Linked DNA regions of Schizosaccharomyces pombe. The protein of the gene in region 2 purifies or fractionates together with the protein of the main gene of each other region. This does not show direct contact. Each region holds a gene or a part of one and is shown on either strand. Other genes may lie near its edges.

What was found.
Region 1: the proteins of apl4 (region 2) and mod21 purify together in Schizosaccharomyces pombe (affinity purification with western blotting, with the first as the bait; one study listed by BioGRID). This does not show direct contact.

Annotation. Positions count from the first base shown.
Region 1 is NC_003424.3:246,552-253,316, forward strand, and holds mod21 (gamma tubulin complex GCP5 subunit Mod21), read right to left. Parts: upstream 4,376-6,765; 5' UTR 4,220-4,375; coding exon 4,056-4,219; exon of another isoform or gene 3,999-4,055; coding exon 2,129-3,998; 3' UTR 2,028-2,128; downstream 1-2,027. Other genes in the region: nucleoside diphosphate kinase Ndk1, read left to right, coding at 1,377-1,832; fatty acid elongase Elo1, read right to left, coding at 5,175-5,786, 5,841-6,201. UniProt on the Schizosaccharomyces pombe protein: Component of the gamma-tubulin complex that is required for the regulation of both interphase microtubule organization and nucleation, and mitotic bipolar spindles. Required for correct septation.
Region 2 is NC_003421.2:2,399,392-2,406,380, reverse strand, and holds apl4 (AP-1 adaptor complex gamma subunit Apl4), read right to left. Parts: upstream 4,385-6,989; 5' UTR 4,315-4,384; coding exon 1,804-4,314; 3' UTR 1,578-1,803; downstream 1-1,577. Other genes in the region: ribosome biogenesis protein nsa2, read right to left, coding at 1-8; protein Cwf18, read left to right, coding at 838-1,266; acyl-coA-sterol acyltransferase Are2, read left to right, coding at 6,008-6,989. UniProt on the Schizosaccharomyces pombe protein: Adaptins are components of the adaptor complexes which link clathrin to receptors in coated vesicles. Clathrin-associated protein complexes are believed to interact with the cytoplasmic tails of membrane proteins, leading to their selection and concentration.

The sequences.
Region 1 (6,765 bases), on a different chromosome or scaffold from region 2:
AAGCGAACAAATAGGATCAAAAATTTAAAGGCTGCGGGAGAAAGAGGATACTAAATTCTAAAGAAAAATGAATAGCAAAGTAGGATATGGGAAACGAAGGAAAAAAATTAAAATTACCCTTTAGGTATGGAAAAACGATAATGTATAACCAGCGTCTAAATTTGGTTGGAATTACTTGTGATTTCTTAGTGCAACTCTCGAATAACAGTTGTAGAAAAAGAATGAAGGATAACCTATAAAAAGAATTGAAATAAAAAAGAAAAGAAAAGAGGAAATTTGACGACGAATCGCAAAAGAAACGTTTCCCGATCTAAGCACTTTTATGTCCTCAAAGTTGGCTCAAAACTGATATTCAGTGCCTCTTGTCACTAATATCAATAATAAATATTAAAGGTAAACCTTTTTGAAAGGAAAACGGTTCTTTTTAACAACCTACAGCTTAAACTGATATTTTTTGCGTTTTTGGTGGTATAATGGTTATGCGTACAATGGTGACTTAATGTGCAGATAAACAGCGCTCGAAAAGAATGTAAATAAAAAGTGATGATACTACAACTGAATTGTTAAGAAAAACAACTTATCCCTCGTCCGTTTATGAGTAAAATTGTGAGACGGCTGTCATGCTCATTAGATAGACATATAATGATTTAAGCTTATCTAAATCCCGGATTTTCGAGTATATGCCATTACGAATATACATAAATTCGCAAACAAGGATAAAACTCTAGGAATAATCATAAAAGCCTTATTCGTATATCAAGACAATGTTAACAATTATATGTATAGGGATAACTAATATATGTACGGAAAAAACCGTTTGCATGAAGTGATGTAGATGTACTTGGAATTGTATCTATTATCAACTGGTTGATAATCAAATTTTGCAGGTATCCCAATACTAAGTTGGTATCAATTACAAGTTCTTCTAACTTTTATTAGTGGTTTCATTCGTTACATGGTCCTAAAACAGTAAGAAGTTGGCGATTGGGATAATAACAAATCCATTATATAGTATACAATAAGCCTTACAATCTTTTGATTTGTGGAGAGTTTTTACGTATGTAAAAAAACAAAACTGGCTTACCGTCTACGGGTACGCTTTGAATGCTTTGTAATGTGTTTGTAAATATGCATTTTTTGTAAACAATAATTTACGACCATTAAGATATCTGAGGCTTGGTGCTCTAAAAATATAAGAAGGTGTACTATAACGATTCTTATCATTTTTTATTATTTACATCTGTTTCCGCTTTGTTTATGCAATCATATTGTGAGTGTTATTTGTCCTTGCTCCGTAATCCTTTATATGGGATAGTAGACGGGACAGCTCCCATCTACTCAACCACCTCATATCACCGAGTATAAGCATTTTTGATATGTCGACAGAACAAACTTTTATCGCTGTGAAACCGGACGCAGTTCAGCGAGGACTGATTGGATACATCATCTCAAAATTTGAGTTGAAGGGCTACAAACTACGTGCTCTAAAATTTTTAGTTCCTAGTCGTGATCTTGTGGAAGAACATTATGCCGAACATAAAGGAAAGCCTTTTTATGAGAAACTCGTTGGTTTCATGGCATCAGGCCCTGTATGTGCCATGATATGGGAAGGTAAACAAGCCGTGAAAACTGGTCGCTTAATGTTGGGCGCCAGTAACCCTCTGGATTCTGCCCCTGGCACTATTCGCGGTGATTATGGTATCGACCTTGGTAGAAACGTTTGCCATGGTTCTGATTCCATAGAAAGCGCTAATCGTGAAATTAAACTTTGGTTCCAGCCTTCGGAAATCCAAGTTTACGATCGTACAATTGAACCTTGGATTTACGAATGAATAAGAAGAAGTTAAAGAGCCTCTTCAAAAGGACTCGTGTTTGTTATGGGTGATGCAAACTATCAGCAACACCCAAAGCAAATAAATATGACTAATGATTTTCTACCTTCATTAAAGCACACTATCATTTTTTTTAATAGATATAGGTCTTTTTCAAATATCATTCGTTAGTAAACGACATGAAACTAGAGAAATCGCATGTAAGTCAGTATGGTTTTACTCATCCAAAAGGTTACTTTTATGAAATCTATTGATTCTATACACGTAATGGTAAATATTATGGCATTTTATCGTAATCATGGCATTATAAGGAATAATAAGTCAGCCAAATTTCGTCTACATCGATAGGCAGAACTACCAATGGGAACAGAAGGATGTATGAGATTGTCCGCTAGTTTCGCTATTATATTACAGGTTTGGTCCAACGTAAATAACGGATCATTTTTAATTCCTGAAACGGTCGAAATTTGATATGTATTTTCCATGACATCTGGTAGCTCTTGCTTTTGACAATTGAGCAGCTCTTCATTTAAGAGCTTCTTTATGTCATCAACAAAAAATTCAGATAAACATTTCTGCTTTTGCTTTAAAATAAGTTTCTCTTTTTCCCCTATTACAGATTCATCATCAACATCATTATTAAGCGTTTCAAAAACGCCGTTGAATATAGAATTTTCATCAACTTCAGTAAAAGATTGATATAGTGTTAGGAAAAAATTATGACAGGTGTTGACGAATACATAATGCCCATAATAGAAACGACTAAATCTTTTTGACCATAACGACTTTTTAGCTTCTTCTTGTTGTTTTATTAAATTTTCAAACTCCCCCATTAAACTTTGAAAGTCAAAAGATAAATCCAAAGATTTACCAAGCTTTAAAATTTTGCTTCTAATTAATATTTCCATTTCCACAAGTAAATTGTTTAGAGTTGGAGATTGGTCAAAAACAATACTACCCAATTGGAGAGCAATATTGTCTTTCTCAAGGAAATTGTTAGGAAAATCCTTACAAAGGATTAAAATGTTATATAGAGGCCTGGCTATAGTCATAGAACTGGTAATTTGTGAGGCTTGATTAACCATCCACAATAACATTGCAATAGCAGAAGCTTTATAGAGCTTGAACATTTGTGAAGAGTAATTCCTTGTTGAATATATGAACTCCAATGTTTTAACAAAATCCCACATATTCGTTGCTGATTTTTCGTAAGCGAAACGAAAGCACAATAGTGGATCAACGAATTTTTTTACATGTTGAAAAAATTGAAAAAGAGTACAGTTCTTTGTAGCGTTATAAACTTCTGTTTCGAGTTTAATAAGCTCTTGGTGTGTGTTTTTTAAACAACTTAAGAGATGTGGTTTTATTTGAGGATAAATGAAGACAACAGAGAGAAACGGCTCATTCTTGGTACTTTGGTCATCACTTTTAAAAAACGAATCGCTAGGAGATGTTAGTTTTTGTCGAAAAAATTCCAAGTTAGAACCGTAATCGGCAAGTTCTGTCATTATACTGCGAAGAATCTCTTCGCTCATGTGATGAAGCTTTGGTAATAAAGAAAGTCGTGTTTCAATTTTTGAACCATTTTTTAAGAAGAAAAAACTTGGATAACCTATCAACATATATATAGAGTCGCGAATAATACTTCTTTCAGATATTCGGACAGTTTCGTTCAAACTAGAATCCCAAAACATAAAGGGTTTTATCTGTAAAAAATCTAAATTCGGTTGCTTGCTTTTTTTAAATAAAGTACATAGCTTATTGTTAGACGCGTTGTCAGACTCCTCGATGATAGGGATGTGGATGTTGGCTGGTATCGTAATTTCATTAGCATTTCCATTGAAAGTTTCTTCCTCAGAGTCTTCTGTTATGGTTTCATCATCAGGCATTGAAGACCAGTCAGGCATCAACCAGTGGTCTCCTTCACAACTAGTTAATAACTGGATTATAGCTTCTTGTTCATTCTTGTTGCAATCTTTGTAGACGGGAATTTGTGGGACATGTATATCTGAGGGTGGTTTAGATAATTCAAGGAAAAGTTTTAATATTTGGGCATGCAATATACTTTGCTTGACACTAACGGTTTGACGATTGAGAACTTCACAAGCGTTTCGTAAAGGCATTTCTAAATCTTCCCGACCTTGTATACCCATTTTGTCACAGATGCTAGATCAAGTTAGTCTTAACATTCCAACAACAATCGGCAGATCTGCTTTACGTTACCCTTTTATATGTTCTATCATTTCATGAAATACCAATGTCGAACTAGGGACATTTTGAATGATTTTCTTTGAATGTTTTAACCATTCACTAGCAACTAATGAATCATTATGTATTAGTTCCCTTAAGAGATGCTGTAGGATTTGATCCGCACGAGACATTGTCATTTACAGTTCTTGATAAAACATTTATTAAGCTTTGCCTGTATTCTCATATGTTCTTTATTATGTGCTGATATTGCTAAAATGCCGATTAAGGAGTGTATATTTCGTATACTATCGCGAATGAAGGAAAATTTTTGTTTGACATGAGAGAAATGAGTTGAGTCAATTTATGACTGAAGGGGGTTAATCATTATTTGCCGTTAAGCTGTGTAAGTCATTTATAATAGTAATAAAAAAAAAACTAATATATTTTGTTTTAAACGTATTTACTGTTATTAGATTAACCGGCGCCGCTCCCTAACTGAAATAGTAAGAAAACTTCAAAATAAATAATGAATTCCGTATGCTCACTTGCAATGACTACAAGTTATACAGAGAAATTTACCAACCTTACACAACTGTAGTACTGTTATTAGAACGTATATTTTCTTACTAATTTATACCCATTTTTCATAAGTTGTGCATTAGTATTACCATGGTTTTTTAATATAAAATATTAAACAAATGGACTTTTAATCTTTGGAAAAAAAGATTCAGAACATTATATTGAAGAAAAGATTTTGGCTCTGATTTTTTTAATTATATTATCACACCATCAAGTTTGACCTTAAGATACCACGAAGTTAACAAATCTATACTTAGTAGAGGTTTAGCTAAAAAGTTTAGAACATGTAAAGACGTCGATAAATCTTGATTAAGGAATGGGAAAAAGGATTCACTGGATAAAAGGTAGTAATCGAATATAGACAAGGATGTAAAGCTAACGGACAATTAAGTACTTTCAAAATTCACAAAATCGTCGCCCGTAAGTCACTCCAACTATTAATTGGTAATTCTAAATGCAACGTTAAGCAGAACAAAGAAAAAAAAGGCACTTGTAGACTTTAGGGCTCAATATCAAGTTATAAGTAAGAGCAAAATCGGGTAATTAAAAACCATAAGAGGTACCACGAAAACATTATTTTTCATTGTTTAAACCTGAAGAAATAGGATACAGATTAGTAACTATATTATTGCATTTAACCTCGGCAATAGAAGCGTTACTTTTTGAGAGACGCTTTAAGTCCGCATTTTTAGAAGATTCTGATGAGTTACCTTTTGTTGCAGCTGCAGCCTTAGCTTTCATTTTGAGAGCAGCATTTTTCTTGTAAGTGTTATGGTAAAAGACGATAAACAAAACAAGGTATGAAGAGATTGTTGCGAGACCACAGAACGCCGCTAAAGGATGTCCTGAGCAATGGCCCATACAGGCTTTGTAAAACTTCAACCGATACGCAACCTCCGTGTATACTGCGAAATAAATAAAACCTAAATCAGCAAAGAACTGAACGATCTGAAAGCGGGTGACCCATTTCTTCCAAGGAACCCGAATACCTTTGGCTACAAGATAGTAGTAATAATACATAGTAACATGAACCAATAAATTGATTTCAATGATCAACCAACTGATGGAAGTTCTGCCAACAATTTGAGTATATACAAGAACGGCAGTGGCACCATGATGGTAGCAATGAAGGAATTGAAGGGGTTTTTTGCGGAGGACAAGGAAAAAAGTATCTGTCAATTCAAGCTAAAACGTATGTTAGAATGAAAAAAGTATGGTCAAAAAACGATGGAGACGTACGAATTTTGAAATATAAGCACAGTAGTATAAAAATACCAGCGGTTGAGTCCATGCTTTCTCATTGCAGATAGAAAAGAAAAAACCGTGCTTGTAAATAGCAGGGGCTACTTGTTCAAAAATCAAAAGTGCAAGGATAGCTGAAGCGATGGAAAAAGTCAAATTATAATATTGGAAAATCTTTTGAAGACGGATAGGTTGCCTATTACGCATAATTCTACCTCCGACAAGAATTAAAAGATAGTAAGATATGATGATGGTTGCAACGACCGGGGCGGACGAAAAGCGGGTTTTGTTTACGATAAATTCAAAGGAAGATGGCCGCTTTCCGAATGTGGCATCTGCCAGGGAATTTAACCATGACCTAAAAATTGTTAGTAAAAATCAACATGAAAGCCTCTCAATCGCATTAAAACTAGTGAAATTTCTATTGTTCTTTCAGACGCTTGCTTTCATGTTTGGTAGTACTTAACGACTACACACAAAAGTAACACATGATGTGCCTCAAAAAAAGACACACCCCAGAGATGAACATTCCACAATCAATCAGTAATACCAGCAATCCAACATCAGCTAAAAAGTCACAGAGTTTAACTTGAGATGAAAAAGTTTTGGATGAAAAAAATTTCAGTAAACCTAACGAAATTTTCACCCTTGTTGATTCCACCTACTCTGCCGAGTCTATCGGGCCGTCAGCGAAAATGATTGGCTAAGAGCTCGCTTTACGAACCGTTAAGCATCCACATGGTGGAGATCTTAATAAACAACGGAATGATAAAAAACAACAACGAAAACTAGAAATACCGATCCGCTTTTTATCAATTGAATATCTAACAGAGGATGCTGAACGGAACGATATAGCGAGCGACAGTGTAACAACGGTAAGCAAAGAAAGGACGACAACAAAGACCGGTATGCTGGTAGGAGA
Region 2 (6,989 bases):
TGAGGCATTGATTGATATAGGCAAATAGCAAGTTAATTTTTTGCATGTGTGCTGCACCGGTATACGATGCGAACCAGACTTATTGAATGACAAGCTCTGCTGCCTTAAGTTTTACTATCGATTTTCAGCGACAACACGTTAAAAATAAAAAATTATCAACGATTACACTACGCCATAATGTACTACATTACGCCTCATTATATGTCATATGCTGACATATCTTTTAAGATTCGTTTATTGATAATTAGGGGTAAGTATCCTTCTACATGCATGGATTCCCGTGAATAGCAACTATTTAGAAACAAAAAAATAGAGCTTTAGCTGAACTGAGGAACGAAGTTTAGTTATAAGCTATATTAGTGATAGGTAACAATACAGCATATATGGTATAATACTATTGTACGTTACTGTTTATATTACCTGCATATTGCAATATAATATGTCACAAGGAAAACTCACTGCAGTTTTACGTATCCGTAAAACAGATACCAAACTGCGTAGATGACAACAACGAGCTTGGTTTGCATTTTCCTAACTTCTCAATATTCATATACATATTCTGCATTTATCAAAAATAACTAGAAAGTAAAACGATCTGGTAGTTCGTCGCTATTAGGTTAATATAAAATTACACACTCAATTTTTGTTTTTGTTTTTTGATACTGCTGATTAGGAACTGGAATTATTGTGCATTGTCAAACTCTAGTTAATTCTAGGAATTTTAACATCTCTCGATATTAATCTTATTACTTACTACAAAAAAAGTATCTTACTACATTCATTCTGGTTTTATAGTGTGGTTTTTCCGAATTTTGTGTTTTTGTATTGGAACAAAAAATGTCTTCATTAGATGAGGTAGCAGAGTCCAGAAAACAGAGATTAGCGGAATTGAGGAAAATAAAGCAGTTAGAGAATAAAACTCGCGATTCTCAAGAGGTTCAAAAAAATGTAATTGAGCATCGAAATTATGATCCAGAAGTGCAGGCACCTAAAATGGGATTCGTGGAACCGCCAAACATGATTGAATCAGTTGAAGCATTATCGAAGGAGATTGAAGAAAAGACTAAGAGAAAAATTGAAGAACAAAGTTCTGTTCCTGTTGAAGAACTAGATTTGGTAACTTTGCGACCTAAAAAGCCTACATGGGATTTAGAAAGAGATTTAAAAGAGCGAATGCGGTCTCTGGAAACACAAAATCAAAATGCAATAGCATTTTATATACAACAGTTAATTTCTGAACGTGCGCATAGTACTGAAAAAGCTTAAAGCAAGACTAATGCTTTCTAATGTTGGATTTACTCTCTGTTAGTTAATATATAATTCATAGGCTTAATTATTGCATTGATCAATTGTTAAAGGAAATAAGTTTAGGATTTTACATTTTATACTTTTCTAGTTGCGATTGTATTGGAGGTATGCACTTCTATTAAAATAATATTACAGCTTTAATTCTAAATCCGACCACTTCTTAATGAAGGGTTTGGAAGGTCAAATTTCCGTTCAATGATATACAATAAAGAATGAGCAAGTCTCAATTTGAAAATTACATAAGTGAACTTATCCAATAAGTATACCATGATTCCATATCGAGAAAATTGCTAAAATTATATAAAAAAAAACCTATTTTCTTTCATAAAAACAATTAGAGCTTTCATTTTCTATTACCTCATTATTCACTATTCTACGAACATTTTCTCGTAAAACTGACTAGACCCATCAAAAAGTGTAGCATGGATCATGTCAGAAATCTTCTTTGATAGCTCGAGCGTTATATTTTAAATGGCATTGTCCATACTTCGGATACTATTGTAAAAGGTCAGATGGCAACTTTCCAAAATCTACCTGATCGAGAGTATTTGATCCACCTTGTCGGACCACAGAGATACGTAGACGCAGTTTGACTTGAGAACCCGATGGCCCATGAACCCGCAGGGTTTGAGAAGTTTCTCCACCAGGCTCCATACTTGTAGTCCTCAAGGGCTGAATTTTCAGTTTCTGTGATTTGGGAACTGCCACTTCTAGATGTATTTTCTCAACCCTAGTCATTGGATTTTTATTTTTAAATTTAGCTTCAATGACGGCTGTTTTGGTACTTTCTTCTTTGGATGGCACCAAAGTTAACGTCACATCGTGTTTATCAAATACAACAATAGGAGGGTATGATTTGGAAGTTGATGGTATGGAAGAAAGCAAAGACAAGTTGTTTGATGGTTGGCTGGCTGAAGCATTAAAGTCCAAAGAAGCAAAGCTGCTTGCCAAGCTGTCAACCGGTTGAGCTGAAGGCGCCGGAGAAGCAAATAAACCAAGGATATCTTCAAAATGACTCTTTTTGGAAGTAGAAGGAGCGCGGCTTAAGCTGGATTGAGGGCTTTGAGTCATTTCATCCACTGGTGTTTCTAAGGGCTCAGCAACAGAAGGGGTAGTTAACCCAATGAGGTCTAGCAATTCGTTGCTTTCCTGAACACGTTTTTCTACGTGTTTGTTAGCCTTTAGCTTTTGCTCCGCATTTTGATAAGGCGTGGTCCTAGGAGGAGGCAGAGGAGCGGGAGTTGGTTCTAGAATTGTCTTGCTCAATTTGGAGTCATTTAATATAAGGTGGAACTCGACAGATCTTTGTTGCACCTCGGTGTTCTTGTTTCTCTTATAGGAATAAATTATCTTGTCAATACGAGAAGCAGTAGAAGAAGAACCTAGACGAGCACTTAACTTCGTGAGAGCGAAAAGACCATATTGAACAATTATGTACCTAGATGCTTCAACGCTATTAAATACTTCCTCAATAATGTCCACAATATCAGATTCTGAAACAGAATGAGGAAGGGTTTGATCATCATCAAAATTCATTGTTGGTGAAAGAAGCATCTGACCATATTCTCCAATTACCCAAAAAGCAGAAAGAGTTAAAGCTTCCTGAGATACATCTTCCTTTAAAGCAGCGTACAACTTTACCACAGCATATTCATGAAGTTCAGGAGCACTAGCTATGAGTCGTAAAAACGTTGAAAGAGTCGATTCACTGACAAAGTTGCCAGCAGATTTGAAGACTCGTAGAAGGGTATCGAAATGCCATCGCTTATTGGGAGCAAAAGCATTTGTGACTTCTGTAATATATTGAGCAGTGGATCCACGTAATTCATCAGAAACGTTATCAAGAAATGATAAAAGCTCACGCACCATGAAACGAACGTTCGCCTCATTAACGAGAAATGTAGAAAGTTCAAGCGCACGAGATTGAATAGAACTGTCGACATCATTAAGACAAGCAAGGATAGTTGATCGGTGACGCTGAACTGCATTTTCTTCACTATTTACAACGAGTTTCAGCATATTAAGAGCAACATAACGAGTGTTATTGTCACGATTACCTAAAAACTTTGCTAAAATATTGACCCCCAAAACTCGAAGGCTACTGTCAGAATTAAGATCAAGGATGGTACGCACAGCTTGATAAAGAATAGCATTACCTGCATTTCTAGAGGAATCAGTGTTAGTACAGACTTGAGCTAAAAGATCACTCATTTTGTCGTAAATTTTAGGGTTATTTTGACCAAGTATTGACAAAAACTGAAGGATTTTAACTTGCAAAAACGGATCAGATATATTGCCAATGTTATGCTCAGAGGAGTAAGTACTAGTGGACAATTGACGAATACGATAAATCAAATCGTCAGCTTGACTTTCAAATCGGGATATTAGCGACGGATTTATTTTGCAAGCACTGATGGCAAAAGCAAGAGCAGCCATTAAAACACCATGACTTTTTGAATGTAACAATTCATCGGTTTTCTCAATATATAAACTTTCCAAATCCGGTTCTTTTTGAATTACTCTAAGTGCACAGAGAACAGCCTTCTTTGATATATAATTATGATGGTTAGAGCAAAGTTCGGCTATGTCGTTTGACAAATCCCTTGCAAGCTCAGGGCCAGCGACATTACCAAACGCAGATAATGCCAACCCCACAATAAATTTGTCTCTAGATTTCAAGTCATTTTGAAGAGAATTTGTCAATAACGTCAAAACTTCCTGGTTCTCGTCTAACAGAAGCATAGCTGCTAGGTATCCCAAACGTTTATCCATGAATCGCGAACTCGACAACAATTTTAAACATTCAATCTGACCAAAGTGTGTCGGCTCACCGAGTAGAAATAAATATAGCAGCTTGGCAACATTTTTTCTGCGCATACGCATGTCATTAGAACCTTGACGAATGTTTTTTCTGATTTGAGCCGACTCTTTGAGAATCGTTGTGTGCTCCTCAGCAGTCGTTTTGGATGCCCGAACAGCCTTTATAAAAGATTTTAAACTTGACATCTTTGGATGCGTCTTTGGGGAATTGGTGAAACCTCTTTCCACTCCCGAACAAGTAAGATGCAGGTTCTTTGGATGTGTTGTTTGCATTACTTGGCTGTTGCTTGTACATGCGGTAGGGTATTGCACGGTAAATTTCTTTAAAACGAATTTAACGTTGCGACTCTTTCGTCAATCTATCAATAATGAATACTAAAAAATATGCTTTAAATAAAATAAATTTTAATTTGTTTTGTTGCTGCTGTGTTACGTTAAGTCAGCTGAAGTGTCTTTTTTTATAATTCCTAGTTTTTATTAAGCAGATGTAAATACCATTTATATTGATTAACTTAATATTATGTTACCACTTATTGCAAGTACATTTAAGAAGGTGTACTATGGCTAAGAGTTGAATATTTTTTAGGTATGGTTTTTGTGCTTTTCAGTAATCATATTACGTTTAATACACATTCCCTTATTAGAGGTTCTTAATAAAATCCATGTGCAATACTAAAGTTATCTTTCCATCCGTACCAATATTCACTGAGATATTTTACGTTCCTACTATAATTGATTCCAGTAAATATTAACTTGCATTTCTATGAGATGTATTGAAAGCAAACAGAAAAACGCAATCTAAACACAGAATATATAAAACAATGAAAATCAAATCAATTTCACTTAACAAAATAGGATGCAGCTTTAAACGACGCTCAAAACTGATGCATTCACCAATACTGCACAAATTAAAAGAATACCTAGCTTCCTTTGGTTATCTGTGTAATTTTTGAATTATCCTATCGAATTTGCTATATGGAGTTGTTAATTGATGGGCAATATCTGGAATTTATGTTTCTCTATTCGTTCTTGACCACGCTATGTGGCTTTGCTTCTTAACTATGCAGTTTGTAACCAGTTTTAATGGCACGTTAAATCACAGTGAGTTGTATTTGTGCACTACTATATTGCGATATGCAGGTAACGCGAAAATCGGGTATTAAGGTGTTATTGTAAATTATTATTGAAATGCTCATAATATGTAAACTAAGGGAAAAAGGTTCGATTGAGCATTCTTTTTTGTTTGTACCTGTCAGTCATTTGGTAATAAGCTACAATAAGCAAGTGCCAATGTCGTATCACATATAGCGGATAAATGAATAGGACATGTGATATATAGTGATACGTAACGAAATTTTACATAACGTGGTGTAGTATTGCAGATATTGCTGAGATCAGGTGGTTCATCGTCTTAGCTCGCAATTCTAACTTATCAACTCCTTTGCTCATTTTGAAACTGGAGACTTGGCTTTTCCTTACATAAATCGCATAGAACGTGAATTGCTTAGGAGTTCGAGCTTTTTATTTACTTCCATTCTATAGTGGAACATTTGGCATAGAATTTTTATTTTTGGAATCACGACTGTGGAGTTTTCGTCATACCAGTTCTGTCATCTTGAAATTCCAAGTTGGAACTTCCATCAATAGATTACATTTCTAAGTTTCTTGCTTTCATTCCTCAATTTTTTATTTAGAAGCGAAGCAAAAAATAAATTTAATCTTCCTACGTTCATATCCGCTTCTTTTTCAATTTCTTTGATACTGTTCGCGATACGTAGCTGCTGATTTTACGTTATTTTTTTGTTTTATCTTTTTCTTTATATATTTATCTTTTTTGTTATATATTCACTTAGTTGCTTTAATTGCTGGTTATTTAAAGATGATTGCTGCAACACCCGCTAAATCCAAACCATCGGATGTCAACTTGGAACAGACGTTCAAAGGTGTTTCTGAAACCTCAAAAATTGACCTTCGAAGGTCTAGGGCCGCTTACCGACCTCTGGAATTATCTCCTACTCCCTCGATTTTTGCTCGTAATTATCAACGTAATGCGGTAGACTTTACTGGATTTTTTGTGTTATTTTGGGTTGCTGTCTCTATTATGATTTTCATGAGCTTTTTAGAAAATTTCGAATTGACTGGAAGACCAGTTGTTGGCACTATTTTTAAATACTTTCAGTCTAATTTGTTAGATCTGGCAAAGGCAGACCTTGCTATGTCTTCAATGTTTCTACTTGCTTTTCCTTTCCAAAAGATTTTTGCTTTGGGATATCTGCGGTGGTATGGTTTAGGCGTTTACCTCTATTCCATTCTTATTTTACTTTTTTTAAGCCATTGTGTTTTACGCTGCTGTCTTAGCAACTGGTCCTGGACGCATCGTGCTATGTTTATTCTTCATTCTATGGTAATCCTTATGAAGCTTCATTCCTATAACGTTGTCAACGGTTGGTATTCTTATTGTTATCATTCGTTAAATAAGCTTCAGTCAAAAAAAACCGATCTTGATGATGATGAACGATCCTCAGTTGAGTTTTATGAACATTGTCTCAACCATCATGGTAATACTTATCCGGAAAATTTAACCATACCAAATGCTTTGGATTTCCTTTTCATGCCCAGCTTATGTTATCAATTATACTACCCAAGAACCGCCCATGTGCGAATTCATTATTTGATTGAATGCGCTTTGGGAACGTTTGGTTGTATCTTTCTTTTGGTCATTATTTCTGATCATTTCATGGTTCCTGTACTTGCTAAAGCCATTCGAACCATTATTGAAGCTCCTGAAGACGCATCTGCTACTTATTTTGCTATACGTTTAGGCCATACTGTAGCATTTTTGATGTTCCCATTTATGCTTA